4 linked regions of the Astyanax mexicanus genome follow. The protein of the gene in region 1 interacts with the protein of each later gene in a biochemical or structural test. Links are inferred from orthologs where the notes say so. Each region holds a gene or a part of one and is shown in the gene's direction. Other genes may lie near its edges. The genes, in order: chek2, atm, ppp2r5a and atr.

The links.
Region 2: of the proteins of chek2 (region 1) and atm, one has a biochemical effect on the other in vitro, tested with the Homo sapiens proteins (6 studies listed by BioGRID, with this or other methods). The link is inferred for Astyanax mexicanus from reciprocal best matches to the Homo sapiens genes CHEK2 and ATM.
Region 3: the proteins of chek2 (region 1) and ppp2r5a form a complex in vitro, tested with the Homo sapiens proteins (2 studies listed by BioGRID and IntAct, with this or other methods). The link is inferred for Astyanax mexicanus from reciprocal best matches to the Homo sapiens genes CHEK2 and PPP2R5A.
Region 4: of the proteins of chek2 (region 1) and atr, one has a biochemical effect on the other in vitro, tested with the Homo sapiens proteins (2 studies listed by BioGRID). The link is inferred for Astyanax mexicanus from reciprocal best matches to the Homo sapiens genes CHEK2 and ATR.

The regions. Positions count from the first base shown.
Region 1 is NC_064429.1:33,386,805-33,394,653, forward strand, and holds the start of chek2 (serine/threonine-protein kinase Chk2), read left to right. Parts: upstream 1-4,844; 5' UTR 4,845-4,919; exon of another isoform or gene 4,920-4,924; intron 4,925-4,946; exon of another isoform or gene 4,947-5,037; intron 5,038-6,521; 5' UTR 6,522-6,527; coding exon 6,528-6,765; intron 6,766-7,849. UniProt on the Homo sapiens protein: Serine/threonine-protein kinase which is required for checkpoint-mediated cell cycle arrest, activation of DNA repair and apoptosis in response to the presence of DNA double-strand breaks.
Region 2 is NC_064411.1:44,659,152-44,666,762, forward strand, and holds the start of atm (serine-protein kinase ATM), read left to right. Parts: upstream 1-4,595; 5' UTR 4,596-4,718; exon of another isoform or gene 4,719-4,740; intron 4,741-6,366; 5' UTR 6,367-6,413; coding exon 6,414-6,485; intron 6,486-6,983; coding exon 6,984-7,105; intron 7,106-7,203; coding exon 7,204-7,349; intron 7,350-7,447; coding exon 7,448-7,611. Other genes in the region: ribosome biogenesis protein NOP53, read right to left, coding at 594-689, 883-938, 1,049-1,230, 2,105-2,192, 2,298-2,374, 3,171-3,376.
Region 3 is NC_064408.1:85,993,381-86,000,892, reverse strand, and holds the start of ppp2r5a (serine/threonine-protein phosphatase 2A 56 kDa regulatory subunit alpha isoform), read left to right. Parts: upstream 1-4,512; 5' UTR 4,513-5,200; coding exon 5,201-5,360; intron 5,361-7,512. Other genes in the region: dtl (denticleless protein homolog), read left to right, coding at 150-266. UniProt on the Homo sapiens protein: The B regulatory subunit might modulate substrate selectivity and catalytic activity, and might also direct the localization of the catalytic enzyme to a particular subcellular compartment.
Region 4 is NC_064411.1:57,784,493-57,792,404, forward strand, and holds the start of atr (serine/threonine-protein kinase ATR), read left to right. Parts: upstream 1-4,910; 5' UTR 4,911-4,925; coding exon 4,926-4,990; intron 4,991-5,219; coding exon of another isoform or gene 5,220-5,292; intron 5,293-6,333; coding exon of another isoform or gene 6,334-6,415; exon of another isoform or gene 6,416-6,527; intron 6,528-6,632; coding exon of another isoform or gene 6,633-6,714; exon of another isoform or gene 6,715-6,767; intron 6,768-7,912. Other genes in the region: zgc:110269 (probable flap endonuclease 1 homolog), read right to left, coding at 673-818, 907-1,038, 2,158-2,218, 3,258-3,394, 3,483-3,544, 3,654-3,708, 3,787-3,889, 5,220-5,292 and 1 more. UniProt on the Homo sapiens protein: Serine/threonine protein kinase which activates checkpoint signaling upon genotoxic stresses such as ionizing radiation (IR), ultraviolet light (UV), or DNA replication stalling, thereby acting as a DNA damage sensor.

The DNA.
Region 1 (7,849 bases):
CTGAATATTTATCATTACTATATAAAAGTATAGCATTGCTCACATGCAAATATGCTACCATTTGCATTATTTTTCATTATTTAAACACATAAATATTCAAACACATTTAATCAAATTCTTTCAAAATACTTTAAATTATTTTAGGAATACCCTTTTATAAAAGTACCAAAATTCTTGTAACCTTTGCTGCCACTATTCCCCATCTGTCATATTAATGATTTAGCTTTGAGGGCTTATACAAACAATTAATTTTATTATGGTTACATTACTCATACATAAAGCATACTATAAAGCATCTAATCAAAAATAAATTAAATAACCTTCCTGTTTAGCTTAGCTTACTACTAGCTTCTGTTTTGCTTATAATTAAAAAAAATTATTTGATTGATTTTGTTGTTCTTATTTTTATTTTTACTTTTTTATTATTTTTCTATCTATAATATGTTCTATACTTTATTTTAATATGAATTACTTATTTCCTACTATTTTATTAAATATTAAATTTGTATTAAATGTAATTGTTTTATTTGTTTTATATTACTTTAAAATTTTTCTGTTTTATTAAATTTTATTGTAAAGCACTTTGAGCTATATATTTATGTATGAAAGGTGCTATATAAAAAAAGTGTATTACTGTACCGGGCGGAGCCCCGCCCCCACCTCGCTTTCTCGGACCACATGTGTGTGTGGCTGACTCCAACAGGACTGTTTTGAGTGCACTGCATGGGACATGTTTAGGGAGGCTGCTACTGAAGGCGATTCTGTTGATTTGGAGGAGTATGCAGCATCAGTCACTGGCTACATCAGCAAGTGTATTGATGATGTCACTGTCTCCAAGACCATCACCACACGCCCAAACCTTCTGGTCACTGCCCTCTTCACTGGTCTCCTTCAGTTTGCGTATCGTCCCAATCGCTCCACGGACGATGCCATTACCACCACCCTTCATCTCTCCCTCACCCACCTGGAGAAGAAGGACACTTACGTCAGAATGCTGTTTATAGACTTCAGTTCAGCATTCAACACCATCATCCCACAGAACCTCATCAGGAAGCTAAACTCGCTCGGCCTCAACACCCCCCTCTGCAACTGGATCCTGGACTTTCTGACGGGGAGACCCCAGTCAGTCCGGTTCGGGGGCAGCACCTCCAGCACCATCACACTGAACACTGGGGCCCCCCAAGGCAGTGTCCTGAGTCCTCTGCTGTTCACCCTGCTGACTCATGACTGTGCAGTTCTAACAGCTTTATCAAGTTCGCCGATGATACAACCGTGCTGGGTCTCATCACCAAAGGCGACGAGTCAGCACACAGAGAGGAGGTGCAGCGGCTGACAGACTGGTGTACAGTCAACAACCTTCACCTGAATGTGGACAAGACAAAGGAAATGGTTGTTGACTTCAGGAGAGCACAACACACCCACTCTCCACTCAACATCGACGGGTCCTCTGTGGAGATTGTTAAGAGCACCAAGTTCCTTGGTGTCCACTTAGCAGATAACCTCACCTGGACCCTGAACACCAGCTCTACAGCCAAGAAAGCCCAACAGCGTCTCTACTTCCTCCGGAAGCTGAGAAAGGCCCGTCTCCCACCACCCATCCTCACACTCTTCTATAGAGGGACCATTGAGAGCATCCTGAGCAGCTGCATCACTGCCTGGTTTGGGACCTGCACCGTCTCTGACCACAAGACCCTCCAGCGTATTGTGAGGACAGCTGAGAGGATCATCGGCGTCTCTCTCCCCTCCATCATGGACATTAACACCACCCGCAGCATCCGCAAAGCAACCAGCATTGTGAATGACCCCACCCATCCCTCACACGAACTGTTCTCCCTCCTGCCTTCGGGAAGAAGGTACCGCAGCATCCGGTCCAGCACCCTGAACACCAGCTCCAGTGCGGGACCGGATGCTGCGGTACCTTCTTCCCGAAGGCAGGAGGGAGAACAGTTCGTGTGAGGGATGGGTGGGGTCATTCACAATGCTGGTTGCTTTGCGGATGCTGCGGGTGGTGTTAATGTCCATGATGGAGGGGAGAGGCCTCTCTCCCCTCCATCATGGACATTAACACCACCCGCAGCATCCGCAAAGCAACCAGAATGACCCCACCCATCCCTCACACGAACTGTTCTCCCTCCTGCCTTCGGGAAGAAGGTACCGCAGCATCCGGTCCAGCACCCTGAACACCAGCTCCAGTGCGGGACCGGATGCTGCGGTACCTTCTTCCTGAAGGCAGGAGGGAGAACAGTTCGTGTGAGGGATGGGTGGGGTCATTCACAATGCTGGTTGCTTTGCGGATGCTGCGGGTGGTGTTAATGTCCATGATGGAGGGGAGAGAGAGATGCCTCTCTCCCCTCCATCATGGACATTAACACCACCCGCAGCATCCGCAAAGCAATCAGAATGACCCTACCCATCCCTCACACGAACTGTTCTCCCTTCCTGCCTTCGGGAAGAAGGTACCGCAGCATCCGGTCCAGCACCCTGAACACCAGCTCCAGTGCGGGACCGGATGCTGCGGTACCTTCTTCCCGAAGGCAGGAGGGAGAACAGTTCGTGTGAGGGATGGGTGGGGTCATTCACAATGCTGGTTGCTTTGCGGATGCTGCGGGTGGTGTAAATGTCCATGATGGAGGGGAGAGAGACGCCGATGATCCTCTCAGCTGTCCTCACAATACGCTGGAGGGTCTTGTGGTCAGAGACGGTGCAGGTCCCAAACCAGGCAGTGATGCAGCTGCTCAGGATGCTCTCAATGGTCCCTCTATAGAAGAGTGTGAGGATGGGTGGAGGGAGACGGGCCTTTCTCAGCTTCCGGAGGAAGTAGAGACGCTGTTGGGCTTTCTTAGCTGTAGAGCTGGTGTTCAGGGTCCAGGTGAGGTTATCTGCTAAGTGGACACCAAGGAACTTGGTGCTCTTAACAATCTCCACAGAGGACCCGTCGATGTTGAGTGGAGAGTGGGTGTGTTGTGCTCTTCTGAAGTCAACAACAATTTCCTTTGTCTTGTCCACATTCAGGTGAAGGTTGTTGACTGTACACCAGTCTGTCAGCCGCTGCACCTCCTCTCTGTGTGCTGACTCGTCGCCTTTGGTGATGAGACCCAGCACGGTTGTATCATCGGCGAACTTGACAAAGCTGTTAGAACTGTGTTTTGCAGCACAGTCATGAGTCAAAGTTTTATAGCCCCTAATAATATATATAATATATATATATATATAATATATATTATTAGGGGCTATAAAACTTTGCCCCCCACCCCCAAATTTATTAGGGGCTATTTATTTATTATTATTTATTTTATTGATTGATTGATTGTTTTTTTTTTGCCAGCCCCCACCAAATTTGTAAATGTATTATTTAATTATTGATTATTATTAATACTTAATAATTATTAATTAGTTTTTCTTCTTCATCTTAGCCGCGCTATGCTGCTCCTTTACAGGCGGCGCTGTTCCGGGAAAACGCTGCGCGCTAAGGCACCTATATATATATAAATATACTCTCGGTCGATGACGTCACAGTCACTGGTGACGTCATCGCACGTGTCGCTCGCGAACGGTTAGCAGTGTTCGAGAGCCAGCTGCGCAATATACATTATACAATATGTGTGTGTGTGCGTGCGCGTGCGCCTGCGTGCGCGCGCGTGTGTGTGAAAAAAAGAAAAAAAAGTTTATAAACTAATGAAAAGATCTTTGAAAAATAAATTGAAAAAAAAAACGAAAAAATAAATAAGTAGTAGTACTACTATTTTTTATTTATTGATTTAATTATTTTATTTATTTTTTTATTTATATATATTTTTAATTAATTCATTAAATTTTCTTCTTTTTCAATTTTCTTTTTTTTTGATAATCACGTGGCCTTAGTGTTTTATATCTACTTGCCATGACACATTAAAGGCTTTTAGTTATTTTTCCTAACAGTGTGTTTTAATGTGTTTGTGATGTTAGTTGTATATGCACTGAATTTGACTTGTTATTGTGTCTATTACATGCTGTTGGATTGTTGGTGCTGCTAACATAAAAGGATATATGATATATGATAATAATACTATAGCATGAAACTGCATGGATATAGGCTAGAATAACAGCTGTGGATAACAGTACTGTGTATTATTTATATGTGAGGAAATTATATCCCCCCCCTAACTACAAATCCACCCCATAACTACACCTCTATAGACGATTTTATATTGACAATTATTACATTTTGTATTTTATAGTCAATTTAAATTTGTATATTAACTTACATAAGTTGTGTTTATGTCCACAATTGTTATAGCATATTTTCTTTTATATAAATTTTTTGTGTGCTAATTTTATTTTTTATATCTGCTGTTTTAATTAAGTTCAACGTGCTGTTCTTTGTAATCTTCTTCTCATTATTATTATTCCACACTTTTAGCTGTTAATATTTGCACTTATTGATTTTAAACACATTTATTATTTTATACCCACTATTATTGCTTTATATCGGCTGCATTTGTTTTATATCTGCTTTTTGTTGTTTATATTTTCAGTTATTATTTTTATATCTGTTTATTTTTATTTTTTATCCACTGTTCTATTTTTTGCTGTTAGTGTTAAGTACATATTTGGGACACAACCTAGGCTTAATCCTTGTATTGGAAACTAATAAAACCTTAAAATGTACAGTTTTCCCTTTTAATTATTAAACATAAAAATACTGAAATACCAGATATTTTATTATAGATTGTGTATTTAGAAAAAATACCACAAAGCGGCGCTGTTTAGACATATTTATTCATTCATTTATTTATTAATACAAGAAAACTACATTTCCCAGCAGTCTTGTCTCCTACATCTCCCAGTTCTGTGATCTGATTGGTTGCCGCGCTGCAGAGTCCGGCACATGTGTTTCGGCTGCGAGCTGGAGTCCGGATCACCCCGCTGAAGTTCTGCAGGTTCGGTATGGCGGTAATAACGCGTGTGTACGGGCTGAGTCTGGCTGTGTTTTTAGGGTCCTGCTGGTTCTGAGGGTTCTCTGTTCTTGTATTATTAGTTTAACCCGGGTTTTCTCAGGTAGGCGAGCTGCTGCTTTAGCCCGGAGCTTCACAACCCGCCTAAACGCGCCGGTTCCGGATCCGATTTAACTCTGATTCAGGATAATATTCTTTTATTTATTTAAATGTTTAGGGTTTTAGTGTTTTTTAGCTTCTCTGTCAGGAATATTTTCTATTTATTTCTATTTACCACGTTAGCTACCACGTTAGCTATGAACTCGTGACTCTGATTTATTTATTTATTTATTTGGATTTGGACCTGATATAGAAAAAAACAAGTTAAAATGGGTGTGAATCCGATTTAGAATGCGGATTGTTTAGGATAGGAGTTCAGACAAACATGCTAATCCGGTTTAATCCTGGGTTTAGGTCTGGCTTTTTTTTTTTTTTGCTTTCTGGGAAAAAAAAGTGGGAGGAGCCTTTTTGTAGCTACAGGTGCCACCCTCTTTCTTTGACCAATCAGATCCCTTCATGTTATATATGCAAATACATGTATATGTATATTATTGGTGTACACAGTAATTTCACCAACAATCTTTGAACATAGTAAATTATATCATACCCTGAAATATGGTGCCATATCACCTGTTAACTCTTGCTCTTTTATGGGGAGGTCCTGATGAGTGCCAGTTCCATCGTTCAGCGTTTTTGATTGCCTTTGAAGATACTTTTTTTTAAAGAGCTTTTTCGGTTTGACTGACCGTTTTTTTTTTTTTTTTTCATTTTTGTCCTTACTTAGCCATAATCTAGATTAGAACATTACTCAAATATTCACTATTTACTGTATACCTGTAACTCTACCTCTTCACTACTTTACAACTGATGCTCTCAAACACTTTATTAAGAGGCAAGAAATTCAAGTAATTAACTCTTGACGAGTTCAGCACAGCTGTTAACTGAAAGCCATAAAGCTTGTTACTTTAGTATTAATTTACAATGCAGATTTTTGTTTTAAATACCCTGGATTTCAGGTGTGTCCGAACTTGTGATTGGTACTGTACCTGGAGTGATCTAATGTTCCTGTGTGTGCATACCATGACTAGGCCTGTCACGATTTTTTGTGGACGATATATTGTCCCAAAATTTTTTACGATACATGATATTTTTGTAATTTTAATTTTATTGAATAAAATGCCACTGACATAATGATAAAAGAATAGCATAAAAAACAATTTATCACTTTTTAAAAGACATCAACAATTTAATTAATCATTTATTATAATTAGTTTGGAAATTATATGCTTATTTCTTTACCTACTTTAGTCCACACTGTGGTATTGAGTATTGTGACTGGCTAAAATACTGTATACTGTTATATATGTGAACAAACATACAAATAAACACAATAGACGATATCATGATTATTGAAAAAGATTGAAGTCCTGTTCATTTATTGTACGATAAATCAATGTTGCAAATATTGTGACAGGCCTAATAAAATGACTTTTATTGTAATTTGTCATGATAATCGTAACACATCATCGTTTCGTTCACCTCCTACAGAGCAGCATGTCGGAGGAGGCAGGACCAAGTGGGCACTCCCAGTCCCAGACCCAGTCTCAGCCTCAGTCCAGCTCATCCTCCGGACCCACCTCGGCCAGCCAGTCCTCCTCAGGCTCTGGAACATTGAGTTCTGTGGACACCGTTCCTGTGGCAGACCTTTCCTCCATCCCTGAGGAACCTGAAGAACCTGAGCCCAAGTACTGGGGGCGCATGGTTCCGCTAATCAGGGGATTCAACCTTCTGAGTAAGTCTGCTGTCCACCACAATACCACTATACTGACATTTATGCTGGGCGATATGGTCAAAATTGGTTTATATCAGGATATTTATTAATTGTGTTTGATACTAGGACTGCACAATATTGAAAAATTGTTTTTGGCGATATATATATATATATATATATATATATATATATATATATATATATATATATATATATATATATATATATATATATATATATATTGCAATATTAGACAATTTAGGGCCCATGACGTTGCCAGCCCCGCCCCAACCCGCGTGCTCAAAACTCAAAACCCAAAACCCGAGCACAACAACAGTAATCTACCCTTTAATCAGGCATTTAAATGTTTTTTTAAAGGTAAATAAGAGGGTTTTTCTGGGATTACAAGCTTAAATTCTGCTATAACTGGAAATATCTGCCCTGCAAAACTGTGCTTCTCAGGCAGCAGCAGCCTGTCACTCACACAGACACAGAGACAGCGCTGTGTATCGACTTCCTGTGGCAAGAATTAAAATATTGCAGCATGAGGTGTTTAATTTAATTGTCCATTTTTCTGGAATTGCAAGCATGAAATCAACTGTAACTGGAAATATCTGCGCTGCAAAACTGTACTTTTCAGGCAGCAGTAGCCTGTCACTCACACAGACACAGAGACAGCGCTGTGTATCTACTTCCGATATATTGTGCGGCTCTATTTAATTCGATTTAATCCCGATATCGAAATGAACAGTATAAAAACCTGTGAAGTACAACATTGTGTACTGACACTGCTGGAAGTATTGTTGTACAAATTAAATCCTATTGTATTGATCTTACATTGATTTATTTCATTAACGTTTGAATATATCGGTTAATAAAAGTTTCAGTGAAGGAAATGAAAAAAAGAAAAATGTTTAATTTTTATTAATTACAGCAAATTTTGTGATACATGTTTTGTCCTGCAGTGTGACTGTTGTGCATTTTGCAATATTGATGCTAAAACGGCCAATGATGCTGAAACTACCACCACCATGTTTAGAAGCAGCTATACTTTAGGCAGGCTAGTTCTCAGTGTGTGCTGTATATTGCCAAGGGCTTTCTAAAT
Region 2 (7,611 bases), on another chromosome or scaffold:
GTCAGAAAGACATGCAACTGAAAAACTACATAAGCAAAAGCAAACTGACGTCATTTATTAAGTAAGGACTGCTGCTGCTTCAAAGACTAACAGTCTACAAACTGAAAAATAATTAAACTCGAGAAGCTTGAGTCAGAGTTGCTAGTGCCCTCAGATCCTAAAGAACCATTCACACAACAGTCCTCTAGGTCCCAAAACGTTGTCTTCACATTCCCATAGAAATACTGGGAGCGCAAGGATGAGATCATCACAGGGCAAGAACTTTCTAACCATCTAACAAGTCAAAGCCTGAATATCAGGTCTACCAATAGGCAGGCTTAATAGAACTGTACTGGATGGGTCAGTGGTATTGGGTTGTTTTTGCCCAATCAGATAAGTGTACCTTAAGGCTAAAAGTTGGCTAAAAGTTTCTAGAAATAATAGGGCTAAAAAAATTACTAGTAAACTTTATATTCCACTTTTGAAATTTATACACAATATGACTGATGCCCTTTTTGTTAGAGAAAATTTATCATTAGAAGCCATTATTTTCAAGGGGGGGGATTGTTCATAGCAACAACCAAAAATTGAGCAAGTGAACCAAAAGCACTTACCTGGTGAGAAAGGAAGTCAGGATTATAGGAACCTCCTGGGGCGATGACTTCAACAGCTGGAAGAAGTGAAGGTTTCTCATTCATCTTCTCTGGTCTCTGCAGGAGAAAAGACGAGTCTGAGCTGTTGCATAGATTAAAACCTCACAATGTCAAGTGATGTGTGCATTCCCAAGCCATCGTAAGGTACCAATTCATGATCAATTGAAATACTGCCATCCCATAACTTCTGGCATGTGAGTGTAAAGTAGTCTTAAAGTATTTACTAGATCATCATTCCCATTATTCTTACCTTAACCAGCTTCTTCTTGGTCTGTTCAAGGTAGTAAGGATCTGCTGTCTCAGGGCCTGTAACAGACAGACAGATGCTGTTAAAGTCGCTGTTCAGTCCTATATTAAATGAAGACAATGCACTCGATTTATACATTATAAAATTAATAAATCAAGAAATGTCTTACTGCCTGCACTCCAGATATCATAGAAGTTCCTGTCTGGGTCTTTACTGATTATTGGCTTTTCCTTAACAGGAACCTTTTGGGGACGTTTCCTGCGTGGCAATACACCCATGTCGGTCAGCTTTTGGATCTTTTGGGCAATTCGACGCTCCTTCTTGGCATTAGGGCGCTGATGGGCCAAGATACTGCACAGAACAGGGAACAGAATGTGAGTGTTAAAGACCAATCTAAAGAACGTACAAAGAACATTGCTAAAGCTAGAAAAGCTAGACCTTAGGAATCCTAGGGTTAGGGTGCTGTGTTTTGGTTACACAGATCTGATATTTTAATAAACAATAAAGGCTTTAGTAATTTTCTTTTCCCACCAAGTTATTGGCTGAAGGAATCATAAGAAAGTCAAGAGAAATCATGAAAAAGGAATTGTCTAGTGCCCTCAGATCCTAAAGAACCGTTCACACAACAGTCCTTCAGGTCCCAAAAGGTTGTCTTCACATTCCCAAAGAAATACTGGGAGCGCAAGGATGAGATCATCACAGGGCAAGAACTTTCCAACAAACACAATTTCAGAAATCAAGGCTGCTGTCCACAAAGCAGTTTAGATAGTACAGTAGAGGTATGACTTGGTCTGGGCTATTGGGTATACCCTCAGTGTTTCCTCTTGGATTTTTTTTGCAGTATTTGCAATCAGTTTTCTGTCTCTTCAATTGGCTTTTTCCAGCTAAAATATACAAGCTGTACAAGGCTAGGATACTAAGTTAACAATGCAGGCTAAAGTAAATTAGCCTTAAAATTGTTTACAAAAAGTCTTTCTGCCTGTCTCAGTTTTAAATTCAAGTTTCAATACTGTGGCTTTCTGTGGTCTTGAAAAGGTTTTAATTAATTTTACTGTCAAAATGCTGTGCTCACATAAACAAAACACAAACAAATTGAGCAAGGATACCCACGTAAAGAACAGCCCACTCAACAAGGGACACAACAAAATGTCTAAACACATATTTGTAATTGTATTATAGACCACTGCAGCTTGGAAAAGTGCTATATAAAACACGAATTACTTACTCTTTAGGTGGGGCGACATTGGAAGTTGGCTGTAGAATTAAGTCTATCCGAAGTGGCTTGGACTTTTTACCAGTCTCTTCACTGGAAGCTGTGGAAAGAGAAGACCAGAAACTTAAGACCCAACTAATTAACAGCCAAAAAAATCTAAATAATAACTTAAAAACAAACAAACAAAAAAAACGTAGATACATACCTGGCTCAAGAACACTCTCTTTCGTTCCAGTGTCCACAAAGAAGAGGCTTTCGTCTGTTTTGTCAGCTATAAGACCTCTATGGAGAAATATTAAAAAGTAGAAACATTACACATCATGGATGTTGTGATTTTATTTTTTTTATAAGTTTTATTTTATTTATGTTTTATATATTATATATATATATATATATATATATTATATATATATATATATATATATATATATATATATATATATATATATATATATATATATAAAGATTTAAAAATGATTTGTATAACCTATATGTAATACAATCTAAGTTATCAGCATTTTGTACAAAAACAATACATCTATTAAGTACTAAGTATTAAGTACAGTTAAGAAGGTGACACTGACATTTACATGGAATAAAAAGCATTATGGTTGCACAACATGATATTTTGTAATGTTAAACTGTATGGATATTCAATTGTATTTGTACACAACATTAATATTATTAGAACAACTGTATATGTAATTTATGAGTGTTTTGTTATTTGCCAATTTTAATAAATGAGAGGTAAGCTTGAGAACCTTAAAACAAAGGTATCTTAACTAACACACGTATATAAAACTAGCCAAGCTATAGAAACAATTAGCTTAGCTACTTTAGCTAAACAGCGAACCTATATTACCTAGATACGGGCTTTTTAAAACCACGTGACCAACAGACCCCAAACGCACGTGGCACAAGGTTTCAATAGATAGCCCTCTGTTTTTAATTTCTCAGTGCTTTTACTAAATCTATTAAAACCCATAGTTACCTAACTCATTCCGAGGTCTTTAATCATGTAAGTCAGTAATGAATAATATTTAGGTTAGCTCCTCAGCTGAGAAAAAGCCCTGCTCACCCTGTAGCTCTTTCCTGGAGCCTCACGTCGTCCAGAAACTCCTCCACATCATTAATATCGCTGTATTTGTTCCAGTTCTTCTTCTTGTTTTTGTTTACGCGCTTCCTGCGTCCGATAGACAATGATTTCCCGTCCAGATCAGATTTTAAAGGAATAAATCCCGGCTGTGAAGCCGCCACACGCCTGTGCCTCCTCGCCGCAGCCATGTTCTCACCAGTGGAGGGGGCGGGGCCTCGGTGGATGTGGGCGAGACTATGATTCGAGCTCCGCCTTTATGTGAAAACCATCAAATACTTCTCTGGAAAAAAAAAATAGTTTTCAGATTTTATATGTATATGTTTGAGTAAAATTAATATTGTTGATTTATTCTATAAACTACATACAATATTGACAATATTTGGAACCAAATTCCCCCAAAAAATATTGTCATTGTGAGCGTTTATTTGCAGAAAATGAAAAATTGCTAAAATAACTAAAAAGATGCAGAGCCTCAAATAATGAAAAAAAAAACAAGTTTGTATTCATACAATTTCAAGAGCTCAGAAATCAATATTTCATGAAATATCCATGTTTTTAATCACAGTTTGGCATCCTCCACCAGTCTTACAAACTGCTTTTGTATAAATGTATGCTGCAAAAAATTCAAGCAGTTCAGATTGGTTTCAAGGCTTGTGATCATCCATCTCCCTCTTGATTTTATTCCAGAAGATTTCAAATTGGTAAAATAAAAAATAAAAAAATTAATATTATTTTAAAGCAGTCTCTTATTTTTTCCAGAGTATGTACAGATTAGTTATTTTTTATATTGAGTACTTTCACGTTAATATGTATTTAAATCAAATCATTTTGTAAATAATGATAAGATAAAAATAAATGAACAACATAAAATCAACAAAAATATATAATTATTGGAATATTGGAATATAATACAAATAAACTAACAACATAAAGTAAAATAATATGAGATGCCTGGTGGATTATTGTTACAAGTATTACAGCATTTCCCAAATAGCTTATGAAATACACTATCTGAGATTTTGAGACAAAAAAACAGAAAATATGCACGAATTACTTTTTTTTTAATATTTAGTACTTTCACGAATCAGTATTCAAAAGGAAATGGTGACCCTCTTCACATGAAGCACAAAAAAAGTTTGACCTGTTTAATTTGTGGTCAAAATTAAACAAGTAATAGGTCAAATACACAGAATATACAACCAACATCACAAACTCATCAAAACAAAAACATACACAAAAAACCTAAACAAACAAATCAAACAGAAAAAAGAAAAGTGGGAATCAAATAAAAAATGAAAAGCTACAAAATATAGATGGATTTTCTTTTTATTATTATTATTTTTTAATTAATACGTTTTATACTGATGATTAGACTGAGCCTGCTGTGTGCAGCTCCTGCGGGTAGGTGGCGCAGATCGTGTGTGAGGGTGAGTCAGTGCTGGAGACGAAGAGGAGAAGAAGGCGGGGAGATGTACACATGTCCAGAAGTTCAGAGTGGATTCTAATGAAAGCGGAGGAAAAACAACGCAAGTGAGAAACTGTTCCAACTCCAGTAACTACTCTATTTTAGGATGTTAAACAAGATCCATAACTGAGCTAAATAATCACAGCAGTTTCGCACAGAGATCACCAGAGCTTAGCCTGTTGACTTAACTAGCTAACTGTTAACTGTGTTTACTGCAGTAGCTTGTGTGTATGTAGCTAATTATAGTGTCAGATACTGGAGGATCAATTTATCATAGCTAAGCTAACTAACAATCTAACTAACAGCTTACCAGTGTACTAGAGTGGGCCAAACACAAGACATCCTTTCTAGACTGAAAGCAGAAATATTTCTGGACATAATATTACTTAAATATAAGTAGAAGTGTCTGTGTTAATCCCTGAGTATGGACGTTTTTAATTTAGCTAGCTAAAGAAAAGTAATGTGATTTTTCTTCTGAAAAATGCTGGTATTTGAAATCCATGTTGCATTTGATTCTGCTCTGCTTGGTCATGCTGGTCACAGCACTTATCTAGTTTATCCTTATCCATATCGTGATAATAGGGCTGTTTTGTCTTAAAATAAGTCTATTATTCACTGTGAAGCTCTAGGTGTATTTATTGTATAATTGTTTTAGTTTGCAGTTTATATACATGCACTAAATATTCTGCAATATTATTTGCTGCATTATATTATTTTATGCTATATTATTTATTTTTCCACATTATGATTATACTGTTATACTATTATACTATATTCCTAAAATGAATTAAATATTTTAGTTTTCCTATATCACCAAGTATATCATTATTGCAAAAATACCCTGAAATATCGTGATATTATTTTAGAGCCATATCACCCACCCCTACTTGCAGTAATTAAACAACTAAAACATAATGTTTAATCTCTTCTAGTCCAGCTTGAACTGACTCTGCTTTTTTTTAAAGCAGAGTATTTGCAATGCTATGACATTATCTTGATAAATATTAACTTTACAAACCTTAATAGTTATTATAAGCTATCAAACATTTATCTTATGTAGGATTTTTACTTTTTTGTAATTTCCAAAAATACCTTGTCCACCTGTGGTTATGTGTAGACTAGAGATGCACCATAATATCAGAATCAAATTGGTATTTTTTATAATCATTGCCACGGCCATTTGCTGATGTATTTATTGTATTGTGGAAAAGGACCAAGTGATGTTAGTCATGCTATTTTAAATGTATTTTTTTATCTAATCTTAGTTATAAAGTTATACATCAAAGGGCTGAACAATATGGCAAAAACTTATCTAATCATTTATCATCTAAATCATATCATATATATTTTTAAATTTCCGTTGACATTTAGACAAAATGCATCAGCAGTTGCAGATTCTGATGCTCTTTCATGTGTAGGACAGTGATTTTTATTTAATTTTTGTTGAACGTCATCCGATTGCACTGTCTGGAATTAAATGTATGCTAAATAAGATTTAATTAACTATTAATGATATTCTTTATATGCTTATTGTCAATATAATAAGTACAAGAAAATGTTTCACAATATGGTAAAATATAGATATATTGGCATTGGCATTGGTAGATATATATATGTGTGCACTATTGGATATCAGCCGAGAATTCCGTGAATCTCTTGTGTAGAAATGTAGCTAATCTAGTAAAATGTTAATAGTTGAATTCTCATTGACAGCTGAGCAGCATAGTGTATGGAAGCCCATGGAGATCATCTGAAGCACAATGAGTCTTTCAGTGCATGAGCTGCTCCTCTGCTGCCGGGGGTTAGAAAATGAGAAAGCCACGGAAAGAAAGGTATTAATTTTCTTTACTTTTTTATTTTTACTTTATGAATTTACTTGTGCTTTTATGACCTATATTCACACTTTGTAGTTTTATAATTACAGACTGTAGTCTTTGCGTCTGGTGTTTCTCTGCATAATGTATTATCAGCCTGTTCAGTCAAATTGAGGCGTTTAAAAACTCCAGTTGCAGTTCTGTATCTAATCTGTACTACTCATACCAGCACAACAGACACTAACAATGCCACCACTGAAATATTACTTGCTCTGTGGTAAACCTGTTGGGACCTAACCGTTGCAGAACAGGATGTAAGGAGGTTAATAATAAAGTATCCAGAGAACAAGTAGGACTGCTGTCTGTAATAGAACTACAAAATGCTCCTGTATGATCAAATGTAGGAAGTCAAGATCTCAGTATTGCTAAGATTCTAGTATTTTTGTAATATTGCATCAGTTTGAGAATAACATGAGAAAATACTGTATAACTAATTAATTTAATGCTTCATTCCAGAAAGAGATTGATCGCTTTAAGAGGCTTCTTCGAGACCCTGAGACAGTCAAGGAACTTGACCGTACTTCTGCATTAAAAGCCTCTAGAAACAACAACCAACTCACTTGGGATGCTGTGTTCAGGTTAGCAGTTAAATATTTATCCTAATAAACATCTGTCAGTTCTACATAAACAGTCTTTTTAATCATATGCTCATTTTCGCATTATTTCATCTCCCCAGGTTCCTTAAGAAATACCTTCAAAAGGAGACAGAGCTCCTTCAGTCAGGCAAAGCCAATGTGTCGGCCATCACACAAGCGAACCGGCGCAAAAAGATGCAGGAGATCAGCAGCTTGATCAAATACTTTGTGCGATGTGCCAACAAACGTAAGCCTTGAGACTCATATTTGTGGTCTTATTTTTTTTTTTTCAAAATATTCCAGTTCTGCAAATATATCAGTTTCTCCTGGTAATAACTTCTACAGGGGGTCCGAAGCTGAAGTGCTCAGATCTGCTGGCTCATGTGGTGGAGGTTATGCAGAGCTCCTTCAGCTGCTCTGCGTATGGAGAAGATTATAGCAGCATGCTGCTGAAGAACATCCTGTCCGTACGCAAGTACTGGTGTGAGATCACCCAACAGCAGTGGCAC
Region 3 (7,512 bases), on another chromosome or scaffold:
AATTTTACTACTAAACCCATTTTTTTCATTAATATTGCTCATTTTCAGTGCAGTTTCCAATAGAACTGTTGTTTAAAAATAAACATTAGAAAAAATAAATGAGCTTTTCTGCTTTGGTTGACATTCCCTCTCCTTTTCTTCTCTTTCAGGCTTTAGGTTCTCCACATTCTATGAGGAAGATCTCTTCTCCACAACCTCAGAAAACTTCTTCTCCACGTTCTATGAAAAAGATCTCTTCATACTTTCAGAAAACACCACAAAAATGATCTCCTTCTGCAAGGAAAATTTCCAGCCTTTTTCCAGACTTTTAATTACCATCACTATCTTTCTGAAACAGCAGAGATGAAAATACAGTTTAGTTTGTTTAAAGATGCGTTTTTTAAGAGAAACATGCTCCACTGCATGTGTTGTATATTTTAGCCTCTCTTTAAATCTGAGGTGTATTTTCATGTAAATAGACAAATTATCTTATTATTAAATGACTGTACTTTTAGCTGTACAGCTTCACAGAAAAGAATGTTGTTTTCAGTTCTAACTGTATGTTCACTAATGTTTAATGCAAGTGTGTTAAGTGTGTGAAACACAGAATTCTGCTATTGCTTTTGTATATGTACATAAAACTGTCCTGTTTATTTTTATTCTTATTTTTTATTCCTGTTGGCTGCTATTTTCTTAACTGGTGTTGAATTAAATGAAGACACAGGGTCTGAAATGATGTTTCCACACTGACTTTCCTGGTACTGTAGCTTGCACTCATACATAGAATTCAGAATAGGCTTTACATTTTAATCTGCTCATTTACACGTCACCCTCAGCCGTGGGTTTAATGCACTCTGCATTACAGGGCAGCATTCAGCTTAATTAAAACACCCATTTTACAATTAATGTATGCTTTTAATTCCAGGAGGCAGCTATTTAATCAGCTGTGCTCTGTATATAAGTGGTGCTTGTTGCCAAAAAAAAAGAAAATTGCCTAAAATTGAATTACTTTAATTCATTCTTACAGCTTTTTGCTGATCACATCTAGAATTATTCTTTTTTTTAAGTTTTTTATTAAAAAGACCATTCAACTTGTAATTTGCTCTTTAGCGCACAGGTTTGCAGTTTCATTCATATAGTTTCATTTCAGCAGAAGCTTGTGCTTTAGAGGCCAGCATTTAATGAATTATGAAGGAACTTTTAATTGAATTAATTAACCATACATGGTGTTAGAAATTATTTGGAGAACTTTTCTTCTTAAAATCTATTTAAAGAGTTTTTACTGGTTATTGGTTGCAGGTGATCTGAGCTGGTCATCAAGGCTGGTCAGCATTCTTTATGCTGTTAAATGTTCCCCTTGATTTTGGACTTGCTTTTACCTTGGTCTTGCTCGTCCTTTTGGTGAACCAATTGGCTGACTAGTCTTGCTGGTTGCAGGATTGGTGAAATCGGTTGTTTGCACAGGTTGATCGTTTTGATTTGTTGGCCAGCTAAACCATCAGTAGTATATTATTTCTACAAACTATTGAATTAACTATTTTCTAATCCACTATTTTTATAATACGAAGGATGTGTCATGGTAAATATCAATTTAAAATGTCTTTTAAAAGGAAATAAACATATTTAAATAATGAGTTTTGGTAAAAGTCCTACAAAATATGTGACCCTCTTAAAGACTATTTAAATTTCAATATTTATGTTAGATTTAGTGTTGAGCGAAGATTGAATAGTCAAGTTCAATTTAGAAGCACTACAACAAATGGCCAACCTTCCTAGTCCAGCTCTGTGTGGATACGGTGACCCCTAGGTTCATGTGTTGATGCTTCAGACTTTCCCTTTTTTTTTGCAGCACTTTTTAGATTAGATGACCTGGCTGTATATCACTTATTAGAGGTTGTATTTGTGTACTTGTACACATGCAGTGTAGTCTTTGTCTAGATTTTCATTCTTTGCATTTTAACACTTGAGTTTGAGTCAAGCTGGAAGGCCACCAGGGGGCGACAGATCTTTCCTCATTTGTCTCACTCACCTACTGACCTTGAAATTTATGAACGTACGTGACCTCTAAACACAGGTTAAGTGTCTTATATCTAATTAGTATTTAAAATCTATTAACTGGCTATTGCATCACTACCATTACCTGAATTTAGAGCATGTATTGTTAAAATGCATAAGATGCTATGCGCAATACGCATAGAATGTTGGGAAATAAAGTTTACATATAGAATGAAACAACAAAAACATTATTAAAATGTAATTTGGCCATACTCTGTGGCAGGGGTTCACAAGTGTTTATCTGTTGAGAATGATAGAACAGAAAATACCAACACACCCTATTTGTACTGGATGTTCTGAATGACTGCCCTGTGTTGGGCATCATAGCTGATTTTGAGAGTCTAGGCTGAAACACTTCATACAGTTACGTCTAATCTGCCTTTAATGCTGTTTTTTCATTGCAAAGCACAGCTAGAACAGCATTTACAGTCATTCTTTTCTCAAGCCTACTGCTGTTTATGGGTTTTTAGCTGAAGCATACAATTTGCACTCATGGATTTCTGGTTGAGTTCATTCCAGTGCAGACAGACAAGTTAAACGGGTCCTGGCATGGCATGATTTATGCGTTTTATCCCTCTGGGGCTTCAGTGGGGAAACAAAACAGGTCAATAGGAGGTGAGTGGAGCTAAAAAGAAATGAAGCAATCAACTTCAGAGTCATAAAAGGAAAAATATTGGTTGTTGGTTTGACCTCAGTGATGCATCAATGCATTAATGGTTTTAGTAGTGGGTGCGTATCTACAGAACTGGACTAAATTCACTTTATTACACAATGTGTACTTTATGTAACCTCTTAGTTCAGTGATTTCCAGGCTAAGAGACTGCAGGTTTTAGTTTGCGCCTGACCTACACCTGTTTTTTTTTGTTTGTTTGTTTCATTTCACTAACATTCAGCTTCACGTTTACTTTCCTGGGTGTAATTTCCTTCTGTTGTGTTCAGCAGTCTAAGAACATAGATTACTGGAGCCATTTCCTGTAAACTGACGAGACCAATAAAACTGTCCCTTGTCTACAGTAAAGCATGGTGGTGGTAGCATCATGGTCAGTGGCTATGTGAGTGCAGCCAGCACTGGGGAGCTGAATTTTAACATGTACTGTGGCATTATGAAGCACAGCATCTCCTCCCTTCCGAAAGTGGGCCACATTGCTGGTTTCCAACACAATAACGACCCCAAACACATCTCCTAAATCACAACTGCTTTGCTGAGAAAGCTGAAGATTAAGAGGTGGACTGGCCAAGCATGTCTCTAGACCTAAACCCTACTGACAATCTGTGGAAGGTCTCTAAAAGCCACCAACTCCATGATCTTGTCTTGGTGAAGTGGAGGAGGATTCCTGTGAAGCTGTGGTGACCTTCAAGTTAAGGCAGTGCTGGACTGTATTATATGGGGCACTATCAGTAAATGTCTATTTTCATACATAAGGCGCACTGGATAATAATGCAACATAAAGGCACAGTGGTGTTGTATAAAATACTCAGCTCTGAGCGGTAGAAGAGCTAGCACTTAGCGTGTTTAGCCGCTAATGCTACTGCTCCAGCCTCGGTGGCAGACAAACTTCACTGAAACTCCTGTATTACACTGTACTTCAGCAGAGTGTCTTTACTGCTTCTTACAACCTGACTGGTAAAAACTGAATGAGTCCACAGATTCTAAAACTGAAATAATAATAACAATTATAAAAGCTATTAATATTATTGAAAGTGTTTTAACTATTATTGTATCTACCAATTATACAGTTCTTAAAAAAATGAGACCACTTATAAAATATGAGTTTCTTTGATTTGACCAAATTGAAAACCTCTGGAATATAATCAAGGGGAAGATAGATGATCACATGCCATCAAACCAAGCTGAACTGCTTGAATTTTTGCACCAGGAGTGGCATAAAGTTATCCAAAAGCAGTGTGTAAGACTGGTGGAGGAGAACATGCCAAGATGCATGAAAACTGTGATTAAAAACCAGGGTTATTCCACAAATATTGATTTCTGCCATTCTCATTTTCTGCAAATAAATGCTCTAAATGACAATATATATATATTTTTTAATTTGGGAAAAATTTTGCCCGTAGTTTATAGAATAAAACGACTATGTTCATTTTACTCAAACATAAACCTGTAAAAAGCAAAATCAGATAAAATCAGATTCAGAAACTGTAGGGTTCTCTTATTTTTTTCCAGAGCTGTATGTTCTATATAATGAGTATTTATTGCAGGTACGTGTAAACGAAACCACTGCTTTGGGCAGTGAGACAGAAACCCTGAACTGAAGCGGGTTTTACATAAATCAGACCTAATTGACTAGCTCCAGGCGGACAGCTTGAAGAACTCGATCGAGCGGTAATCTGATTGGCCGCGGCGCAGTTGATCCTAGGCGCTGATTGGACGAGACTGCTGTCCGTCTCCGCGCTCAGCCTGTGGCCGGAGGGCGGTGGGCGGGGCTTGTGTTTCTGTCATTCACTCCACGCTGAGCTGCACGCTCACCATAAAGGTCAGATTGAGCGCTGGAGCGGCTGGATCAGAAACTTCACACAGCGCCTCGGTCCCGCTCTGAGAGACTTTCCCCGCCTGTTCTCGGGGTTTAGACAGGGCTGTGGATCTAATCAGAGGAATCAGAGTCAAGGAATGATCGATAGTTACATCAGCAGCGCCTGGAGAGGAGAATAATCCTATTTGTATCTGGAGCGGCAGCGAGAGACATGCGTGCCCCGCCGCCGCCGCTGTGCTGGAGGAGGAGGAGGACGCTGGGGAGACTTTATGGCTTTTAGATAAATGGGAAAACTCGGATATGAGGCTTCTCCACTTCTCCACTCTCTGATCCTGCGCGCTGACAACCTGTAGATGTGCCTGGAGAAGAAGAAGAAGCCCATCATGGCCACAACTTAAAGCCCTAGACGCCATATTAACTGGGTGTTTGTGTTTCTGTGTATCTCTGTGTTTCTCTGTGTAATATTGCATGATCTCCACTGCTGTTAGTCTGGTGGACACTCCAGTCTGTCCCCATTGGCCTTTAACTCCACGAGCAACAGGGGCTGCTGCACTTCAACTTCTTAGGAAGAAGAGAAGCTAGACTGTCCTCCACTCCACACTCACTTACTCTCCCCAGCATACTCCTGAGCTCAGCCAGTGCTTGAGTGTCCGTGCATTTGTCTGTATTTGTGTGTCAAGATGTCCTCTGGCATCTCAGCCACAGAGAAGGTGGATGGATTCACCAGGAAGTCCGTGAGAAAGGCCCAGAAGCAGAGGAAAGCTCAAGGATCAGCCCAGTTCAGGCCACAGGCAGGAAACCTCAGCCCTGGAGAACTTTCAGCCTTGCCCCAGCTCAGAGGTAAGGGGATCAGATAAGATACTGCACACATAGCCAATGGATCATTGCCTCTCAAGATCTCATAAAACACTATCAGAGCTCAAACCCTTAGAAATAAATGTTACTCAATGGTTATTGGCTTAGATGTTGTAGTTCCTGGGGGAAACAAATCTTTAGTCCATAAGAGCCTAGACCATTGTTGTATTTTTTTTTCTTATTGTGGGGACAATGCCTATAAATACATTTTATCATCATTGACAATGATGATAATGTTGGTGGAGATAAAGTAGTAGGCAAATCTGGAAAAAATGTTTTGCTTCCTTTTTGCCATATTTGATCACTCACCTAAGGTGAGGTCACAGGCCATGTTCCACCCATTCCAAGTTCAAACTAGGGGTGTGCCTGAAATATTGTGCCATATCTCCCACCCCTCATTATCACATCAGGGTACTACTTTTTGCTATTTTTTTAAGAACGGGAAATTCACACTTCACACAATTGTTCTCATTTCCCATTATATATCTAATAGAGACCATATCTGTATCATTTATTTTACTTTAATCCTGGACTTCTGTTACAGAATTCTTGTATTTTTTTTAATATCTCAGTTTGGGGTGTGCCATATCATATTGTATTAATAAAATGTAATTTTTATTTTGTTTTAATAGTGTATTCTTGATTTTTTTTTATTCTATGTTTTTTCATATCGTTATCACAAAGTATTATCACAAAACACCACGAAATATAATATTATTTTAAGGCTGTATCACCCACCCTTAGTTCAAACCCTAATAAGCAACTCCATTGCGTGTATTTTTAACATTTGAATGGTTAAATGGTTGGAACCGAGTTATAGAAACAAACAGTATACTTTTAAAATGAGCTAGTTTTATCTCCAGCACTGACCCAGCACACCTACATTCTGGGAATAAGGTCAGATGAATGAACACACATTCACACACTGTCCTGTGATGATGCTCTCAGTATATGTCCCTTAGGTTCTTCATAGGTTAATATGACGGACAAAGTGCTATAGGAAACTTGCCTTTCTTTAAAAAAAACGATTGCAATTTAGGTTTAATTTAAATTAAGATTTAGATTAATTGTAAGCTGAATTATTTGCAGGTGTGTTGATAGCAGCTAGGAACTGGCATGACCGATAGGCTTCACATATAAAGCCATTTAATTTACTAGCCAAAACACCAGTGAAGCTAACTGTATCTTCGGAAGTTAATGATGATGATGATGGTGATGGTGATGGTGATGGTGATGGTGATGATGATGGTGATGTTGGTGGAGATAAAGTAGTGGGCATATCTGGAAAAAAAAATTCTTCCACCCACCCTCCATATTTGATCACCCACCTAAGATGAGGTCACAGGCCATGTTTTACACAGTCCAGGCTACTTTTCATCACATGCTTTGGGGCAGTAGTGGCTGATTGGTTAGAGTACTGAGTTATTGATTTAATCCCTGGGTTCAGGAAGACTCCACTGTTGGTCTCTTGAGCAAGGCCCTTAACCCTCACTTCTACCTGGGCACCACAGCAATTGCTGCCCACTGCTCTGTGCACGTGTGCTCACTGTATCACTGTGTGTGTTATTTTGTCTGTAGGGTGTGTTTACTGCATGGATGGGTTTCAGGAGGAGGCCAAATTCCATCTTTGTTGTCTCTGTTTTTTCAAATGGAAGGAGAGTTGGAGATTTTAACTTTTGGTGTGCTGTCCTTCGGGTGAAGTGGAGATACTGATGTATTCTGCCTCAATTAAGGCATAAGGCAGTGTTTTCATAACCATAACCATTTTGTGTAATGACTCTGTGATGCTTTTAGAGGCATTAAACTCCTCAGACGTCTGGTTTCATTCAACAACACTGAATGATTCTGACTGGGCAAGTTTTTTAGAATGGAAAAACCTCTTCTAGAAGGAATGTGAAGGAGATGTTTATGATATAAAATACTAATTGTAGCCTGCTCCAGCCATCAAGCACACTACACCACAAGCTGCCGTAGCAATGTATGTCTGTGATAAGTTGTCCACTGTAACTGTTCTAGTGGAAAATCCAGTGTTAGATGAAGTTAAAGTTGAATTCATAAAAGTAAGCAACCAGTTCTGTTTCACAGGACTTATTTGTGGTTTTAATCTTCAAAGTAACTCAAGTCTGTTCAAATGACG
Region 4 (7,912 bases), on another chromosome or scaffold:
TGTCAGAATGAGTGTGTGGATCATATGAACATTATAGATCATTATAGAGCACCCCCTACACTTCCTGTAGTGTATTACAGTCTGTCAGAATGAGCGTGTTGTGGATCATATGAACATTATAGAGCATTATAGAGCGCCCCCTACGCTTCCTGTAGTGTATTACAGTCTGTCAGAATAAGCGTGTTGTGGATAATATGATCATTATAGAGCATTATAGAGCGCCCCCTACGCTACCTGTAGTGTATTACAGTCTGTCAGAATGAGTGTTGTGGATCATATGAACATTATAGAGCATTATAGAGCGCCCCCTACGCTTCCTGTAGTGTATTACAGTCTGTCAGAATGAGCGTGTTGTGGATCATATGAACATTATAGAGCATTATAGAGCGCCCCCTACGCTTCCTGTAGTGTATTACAGTCTGTCAGAATAAGCGTGTTGTGGATCATATGAACATTATAAAGCATTATAGAGCGCCCCCTACGCTTCCTGTAGTGTATTACAGTCTGTCAGAATGAGTGTGTGGATCGTATGAACATTATAGAGCATTATAGAGCGCCCCCTACACTTCCTGTAGTGTATTACAGTCTGTCAGAATGAGTGTGTGGATCATATGAACATTACAGTATATTATAAAGGTTTTATTATGTCTTATAATAAGAAAAATAATTTACTTTAAGTTTTTCTCCACACACAGGAACTTCACCAGGCCTTCCTCATCTGGATCACTCCAGGCCAGATCAGGGGTATCAGCCTGAGGTGGCTCCAAAAACAGCCTGCGGGCAGCCTGGTACTGCCAGGCTAAAGGAACCGGGTGAGTCTGTGGAGAGTGTGGGCGTTTAGACGGCTGTTTTAGTCATATTATCGTACGGTTATATATCATAAAACAATCAGTGTAGTTCAGGTACCTTTTTGTTGACGTTCTGCTTCACATGCTCTATGGTTCTGTGCTGTTGGATCAGCTTCAGGGCTCGGCTTGGACCCAGTCCTGTTATCTTATCACAGTAATCACAGCCCAGTAATATACACAGATCTACAAACTGAACACACAACATACACAGTAACATTATTACTTGTTTCCACATAAATAATAATCCACATATACTATTAACAGTTCTTAAAGCTCTCATTTTATCGTTTTTTCATTTATTTAAAAATGTTTAGTTGTGTCTCTAGTATGAATAAATGCTATGTGAGCTTCAGTAATGCGGTATAACTCTGCTTTAGTCCTGTGGAGGAGTGGGAGAAAAACAACTTTGGCTCTTGCTTATTAATATTTATAGATGCAAACATATTGCCTCTGATTGGCTAACAGCACGGAGACACCCTGAGGCAAGGAGACGGACAACCGTTAGAAATGTTTTAAAATAAAGACATTTTTACACTAATAACAGTCTTTACAATGATATATTACTTTATAACATGTGTAATAATGCTTTTCTGCTAAGTGCAGTTCAGCCCCTGATCTAGTCTTAGAGTCTCTGTAAAAAACCAAATCCACCGGAGATCCTATTTAAACCTATAGTTACACACAGAGGTGGGTAGAGTCCAGGTCCAGAAAGCAAAAATCCACCCCAGAGTTTTGTTGGGTGAGCCGTAGCAGAGCCGCCCAGGCAGTTGGAACAAACAAAACCCTGGGATAGATTTTTACTTTTAACTAGTGTAAACAGAACTGATCTAAACTGTTGTAAACACACACCTACCTATCTCACTAGTAATTGGCTGCTGTTGTTCCTCCATAGACTAATTCTAATCATTTGTTTCTTAGCTCTGAATTACTGGGTAAAGTATATAAACACTGATGTGTTATTCGCACAAATAACACAGGAATGAACCGCATGCTGTTTCTAGCGGTTAGTTATCTCCTATCTGACGAGACAGCGTCGCCGCCCGGCTTCAGCTCTGCCTGTGGGCGGTCCCGAGCCGAGGTGGGTGGGGCCATGAATACTAATTCACGGGTTGATGTAGGCACGGTGCTTATTTATTGAATAGAGGTTGAGGAACAGTTTCATGTGTAGCATCATAAACAACTCTACTGTACTGTATTTCACAAAGAACACGAAAAAGTGGATTTTAGCGGAAGGAGACCTTTAAGATAATAATAAATAATACATACAATAAATACAACCCAAACACCATTACCACACACTGTGACTGACCTCTTCCTGTGTGAGCTGCAAAGTTTCCAGTAGTTTTGGTAAGGAGTATTCTGTGACCTCACTGAAAAATCAGAACAATTTTCAAATTATTTAATGTGAGTCAGAACAGACGCATGTTGCAAATGCATAACAATGGTTTAAAAGGTGTACTCCTCTTTTAATTTGACTTTTATAAGCTTTATTCTTAAATAAATACTGTTTACAATACAGGAAGTGAGGGAGAGAGCCGTCAGAGAGAGCTGACATATGGCAGGTTTAAGTTCATTTTTTAATCTACTGACATAAATTACACTAAACAAAGTATTCACCATTACTTAACACACTTTATCAGTTTACTCAGTTTATTACCTTTTCACAAACCTTCTGTTTTCAAGCTGAGAGATACAAAGCTGTACAGGACTAGCATAGTGAAGTTAGTCAAGGTAATGTAGCCTTAACGTATTCTTTCTCTATATACATTCCAAGTTATCTAGCTACATATGACTAGAGAAGCACTGCTGAGGAAAATGTATGATTAGACTAGCATTGCCTTAGTTGAATGTATGATTAGAATATCACTACTGAGGTAAATGTATGATTAGAATAGGAATGTTAAGGTAAATCTATGCTTAGAATCGCAATGCTGATGTAAATGTATGATTAGAATATCACTGCTGAGGTAAGTTTATGATTAGGATAGCACTGCTGATGTAAATGTATAATTAGAATAGCATTGCTGATGTAAATGTATAATTAGAATAGCATTGCTGATGTAAATGTATAATTAGAATAGCATTGCTAATGTAAATATATAATTAGAATAAATCTGCTGATGTAAATGTATGATTAGAATAGCGCTACTGAGGTAAATGTATGATTAAAATAGCATTGCTATTGTAAATTTATGATTGGAATAACACTGCTGAGGTAAATATATGATTAGAATAGCAGTGCTGATGTAAATGTTTGAATGGAATAGCACTGCTGAGGTAAATGTACGTTTAGAATAGTACTTCTGTACTGCTCTATGATTAGAATGGCACTGCTGATGTACGTTTATGATTATGATACCATAGATGGACAGATAGTAGACTGTATTAATGGTTGTACTGGTTGTTCACCTGTCTCTCTTGGCGTTGAGCTGGCGTAGAAGGGTGGTACCTCCGAACGCCAGCGTGTCCATGTCCTCAGAGGCCACAGCGTCCACCACCCCACCTCTGACCAGGTGAGCACACAGCGCCTCACCATCTGCAGGAGCCTGACCAATCAGAGAGCACAGAGACTATAATACAGTACTATAATACAGGAGAAATTTAGTTATAGATAAGAAATAAATGTGTAGTTACCATGATAAAGGGCATTCCCATCAGCTGCACGAGACGGAGGAATTCCTGGGTTTTGGTGGACACTAGAATTGAAAAAATATTTGAACACACAGAATCTATATATATATATATATATATATATATATATATACGTATATATATATATAAAATATCTGGTGTTGCTCTTCTTACCGGTGTTGGAGCGATAGGAGCTGTTCCAGCCGGCGCTCTGAGCTCTTTTCTCCAGCTAACACAACACAAACTACGCGTTACTGCAAAATTAAAAAGGACTTCTCGATTTAACTTTAAAAAATCTGATTCTCACCACAGCTCTCTTCTGATTGGGCGGCTTCCCGTCAAACACGAAGACCGGCTTGATGTCATGTTCAAGGAAAGTAAGGGTGCGGTAGAACAGGCCGAGTAGAGGACTGTGAAGAAAACTGAATTATTAGGACTAAAGTAAATGTGTATATACAGGGGTTGGACAATGAAACTGAAACACCTGTCATCATTTTAGTGTGGGATTTTAGGTTTCATGTCTAAATTGGAGCAGCCTGGTGTTCAATCTTCATTAATTGCACATTGCACCAGTAAGAGCAGAGTGTGAAGGTTCAATTAGCAGGGTAAGAGCACAGTTCTGCTCTAAATATTACAATGCACACAACATTATGGGTGACATACCAGAGTTCAAAAGAGGACAAATTGTTGGTGCACGTCTTGCTGGAGCATCTGTGACCAAGACAGCAAGTCTTTGTGATGCATCAAGAGCCACGGTATCCAGGGTAATGTCAGCATACCACCAAGAAGAACTAACCACATCCAACAGGATTAACTGTGGACGCTGTAAGAGGAAGCTGTCTGAAAGGGATGTTCGGGTGCTAACCCGGATTGTATCCAAAAAACATAAAACCACGTCTGATCAAATCACGCAGAATTCAATGTTCACCTCAACTCTCCTGTTTCCACCAGAACTGTCCGTCACCACAATCAATTACTGTGCTCTAAAACCAGGTGTTTCAGTTTCATTATCCAACTCCTGTATCTGTATAACTGCTTTAGAACCACTTATATTAATAATTAATAAATAATGTATGAATTTGTAGTATGTTAAGAATACATTCCATATTACAACCCAGAAACTTTCATTATTATTATTATTATGCTAAAAGAATTTGCCCCAGCTTTCTACGAGACTGTACAAGTAAAAATGACTATTATACATATTTAATGTAAAATCGATGTTCACAAATGTCAGAGATCAACATTGTTTCAATGCATTAGAGATGGAAAAATTAACGTTGATTCAACGTCCCTTTGATTTCTGGGTATGCTAGTAATTCATATATAAACCATGTATTAACATACCAGTCCTGCATACATTTTTATAAACCTTTCCTAACCTTTAAAAATGCTTTTATTGTGGTAATTTCTGCCTCTGCAGCTCCTCTCAGGTTCAACTGTGCTATGGGCGAGGATGATGTTTCCGCCCGTAAACCCATCCATCATCCAGGGGGGAGTCTAAAATCAGGGTGGGTTGTTACCCTTTAAATAACATAGAGAACATTTCTATTGATTTTAGGTCTTGCTGATCAATAAGCTTGGTCAGGTTTGGGCAGAAAAATATACCTTACCATCGGGTCAACCATCTTAACCACCCTATCCACCTTAACAACCATATCCACCTTAACCACCTGAACCTGTCCATGCTTTTCGCTCAGTCATGATATAATAACATTATGGGATTCAGGGTTCTCTCACCTGTATGGCAGACCGGGCACAGCTGAGCGAAACTGGTTCACAACAATGGAAGTATCGAGAGCGATAACCTTTCCTACAACACAAAAAACACATAAAAAACAGATATTAAATATATAGTTAAATAATGATCTACATCATATATCAGCATTTCAGCACAATCAGAACCCTCATTCAGAAATACTGGGAAATGTATTAACTAGATAGATTTAAAGAGTTAGAAATAGCTAAATAGCTATGCTGTTAATTCTGCCTTAACTGGGGCAGTTCTGATGAGTGCCAGTTTTATCATTATAATGTTTCGGATAAGAGAGCACTTAAAAATGATGATTTTCTTTGATTTTAACAAATTGAAAACCTCTGGAATATAATCAAGAGGAAGATGGATGATCACAAACCATCAAACCACCAAACTGAACTGCTTGAATTTTTGCACCAGGAGTAAAGCAGCATAAAGTTATCCAAAAGCAGTGTGTAAGACTGGTGGAGGAGAACATGATGCCAAGATGCATGAAAAAAAACCTGTGATTAAAAACCAGGGTTATTCCACCAAATATTGATTATTTCTGAACTCTTAAAACTTTATGAATATGAACTTGTTTTCTTTGCATTATTTGAGGTCTGAAAGCTCTGCATCTTTTTTGTTATTTCAGTAATTTCTCATTTTCTGTAAATAAATGCTCTAAATGAGAATATTTTTATTTGGAATTTGGGAGAAATGTTGTCTGTAGTTTATAGAATAAAACAACATTGTTCATTTTACTCAAACATAAACCTATAAATAGCAAAATCAGAGAAACTGATTTTATTGAGGGAATGAGAAAAGAGGAAAAACATGTTAAAACAGGACAAATCCAATCAGTGAAAACAATATTGTGAAAACAATATCCAGTATAAAAGCACAGAAATAATAGACGGAAAAATAAATGTATAAAACTAAATAAAATGACCCAACAAAAAAATTAGTATTTCATTTTTCTTCCTACTGCTTACTTCGTCCTTCGCATATTTTTTCTTTTTCCAACTTAATTATTATTATTTAGCTAGGCTAAGCTATGCTGAGCTATGCTATGCTAAGTGCAATCTGTCTGTTTTAACTGTATTTATCAGGTGTTACCGGTGTAATCTCCGATTTCCTTGTGAGAAATAGAACCAGGAGCTTCACTCCGAATTAAATCTGCCAGTTTAGTGATTCCCATTCTAAAAGATTCGATTTAAAATGCTATAATTAAATAAAGCTAAAAACAAAACAAAACAAACAAAGCTAAAGTCTACTTCATGTTCGAACTTCCTGTTCCACCTTAAATGTTTCAGCCAGCAGTGGCGTTCTGGCGCCAGCTGCTGCACCATTTAAGGTGGAACGGAGAGTTCCAAAAAAACATATATCATAATTTAACTGTATTTATCGGGTGTTACCGGTATAATCTCCGATTTCCTTGTGAGAAACAGAACTACGAGCTTCATTCCGAATTAAATCTGCCAGTTTTGTGATTCCCATTCTAAAAGATTCGATTTATTAAGTACATTGATAGCTAAGCGCTAAGACTTTTATTTTAAGACCTTTATTTTGTCAGGAAGCCGCAGCGCAGCCTCCCGTTCACCCCGTTTCCAGGGCAACTGCTCGTTTGCTCATTAACCCGTTGCTTCCCGGTATGAATTCAGTTAAGCGGTCCCAGTTCTGATGTTCTGATTGGTGTTTTGCTGGAGTTTAACTTTAAATATAACTTTACAGCAATTTTATTGTGGCTTAGAATATATATATATATATATATATATATATATATATATATATATATATATATATATATATATATATATATATATTCAATAACATATATATATATATATATATATATATATTATTGTGTAGAGTTCTGAGCCACATATATGTATGTGGCTCAGAACTCTACACAATTCTACATTTGGAAGAAAAAATAAATATATATATCATATTAAAGGGTATATATTAAGGGGACACTCTTGCTCTTCTATCCTTTCCTGGGACGGTCCTGATGAGTACCAGTTTCACCATTTTACCGATTTTTATGTGTTTTTTTTTGCGATGACTGCACTTGAGGATACTTTCTTGGAAAATTCTTGAAATTCTTTTTTTCGGATTGACTGACCTTCACTGTTCTTTATTTAGTTGAGTAGTTGTTGCTTCTCATAATCTGGATTAGAACATTACTGAAATATTCACTATTCACTGTATACCTGTAACTCTACCTCTTCACTACTTTACTTTAACTGATGCTCTCAAACACTTTATTAAGAGACAAGAAATTCAAGTAATTAACTTTGATGAGTTCAGCACAGCTGTTAACTGAAAGTCTAAATTCCAGGAGACTCTACCTCATAAAACTGACTGAGAAAATCCAGCAGAGATGTTCAAAACTCATCATCTAAACAAGAGGAGATACTTTTTTTTAGTTAAGTAAGCTTTTAATAGTTTAATAAATAATTGCATATGTTGTTTCTTCATAGTTTTCATTAATACTCATTAAAGGTGCGCCCAAACTTTTGTATATCATTACTTAGCTAACTAAATTGGGTTAATCAATGATTTAGCACTGTTTAATTGTTTTAAACAATTGTATTTAAGTCATTCTTTCTAGAGTTAAAATAAAGCTATAAAAAGAAAGCAAATGCTCAAGTCATGTTGGAAATCTCTGTTTAAAAAAATTCCAGGTGACTCT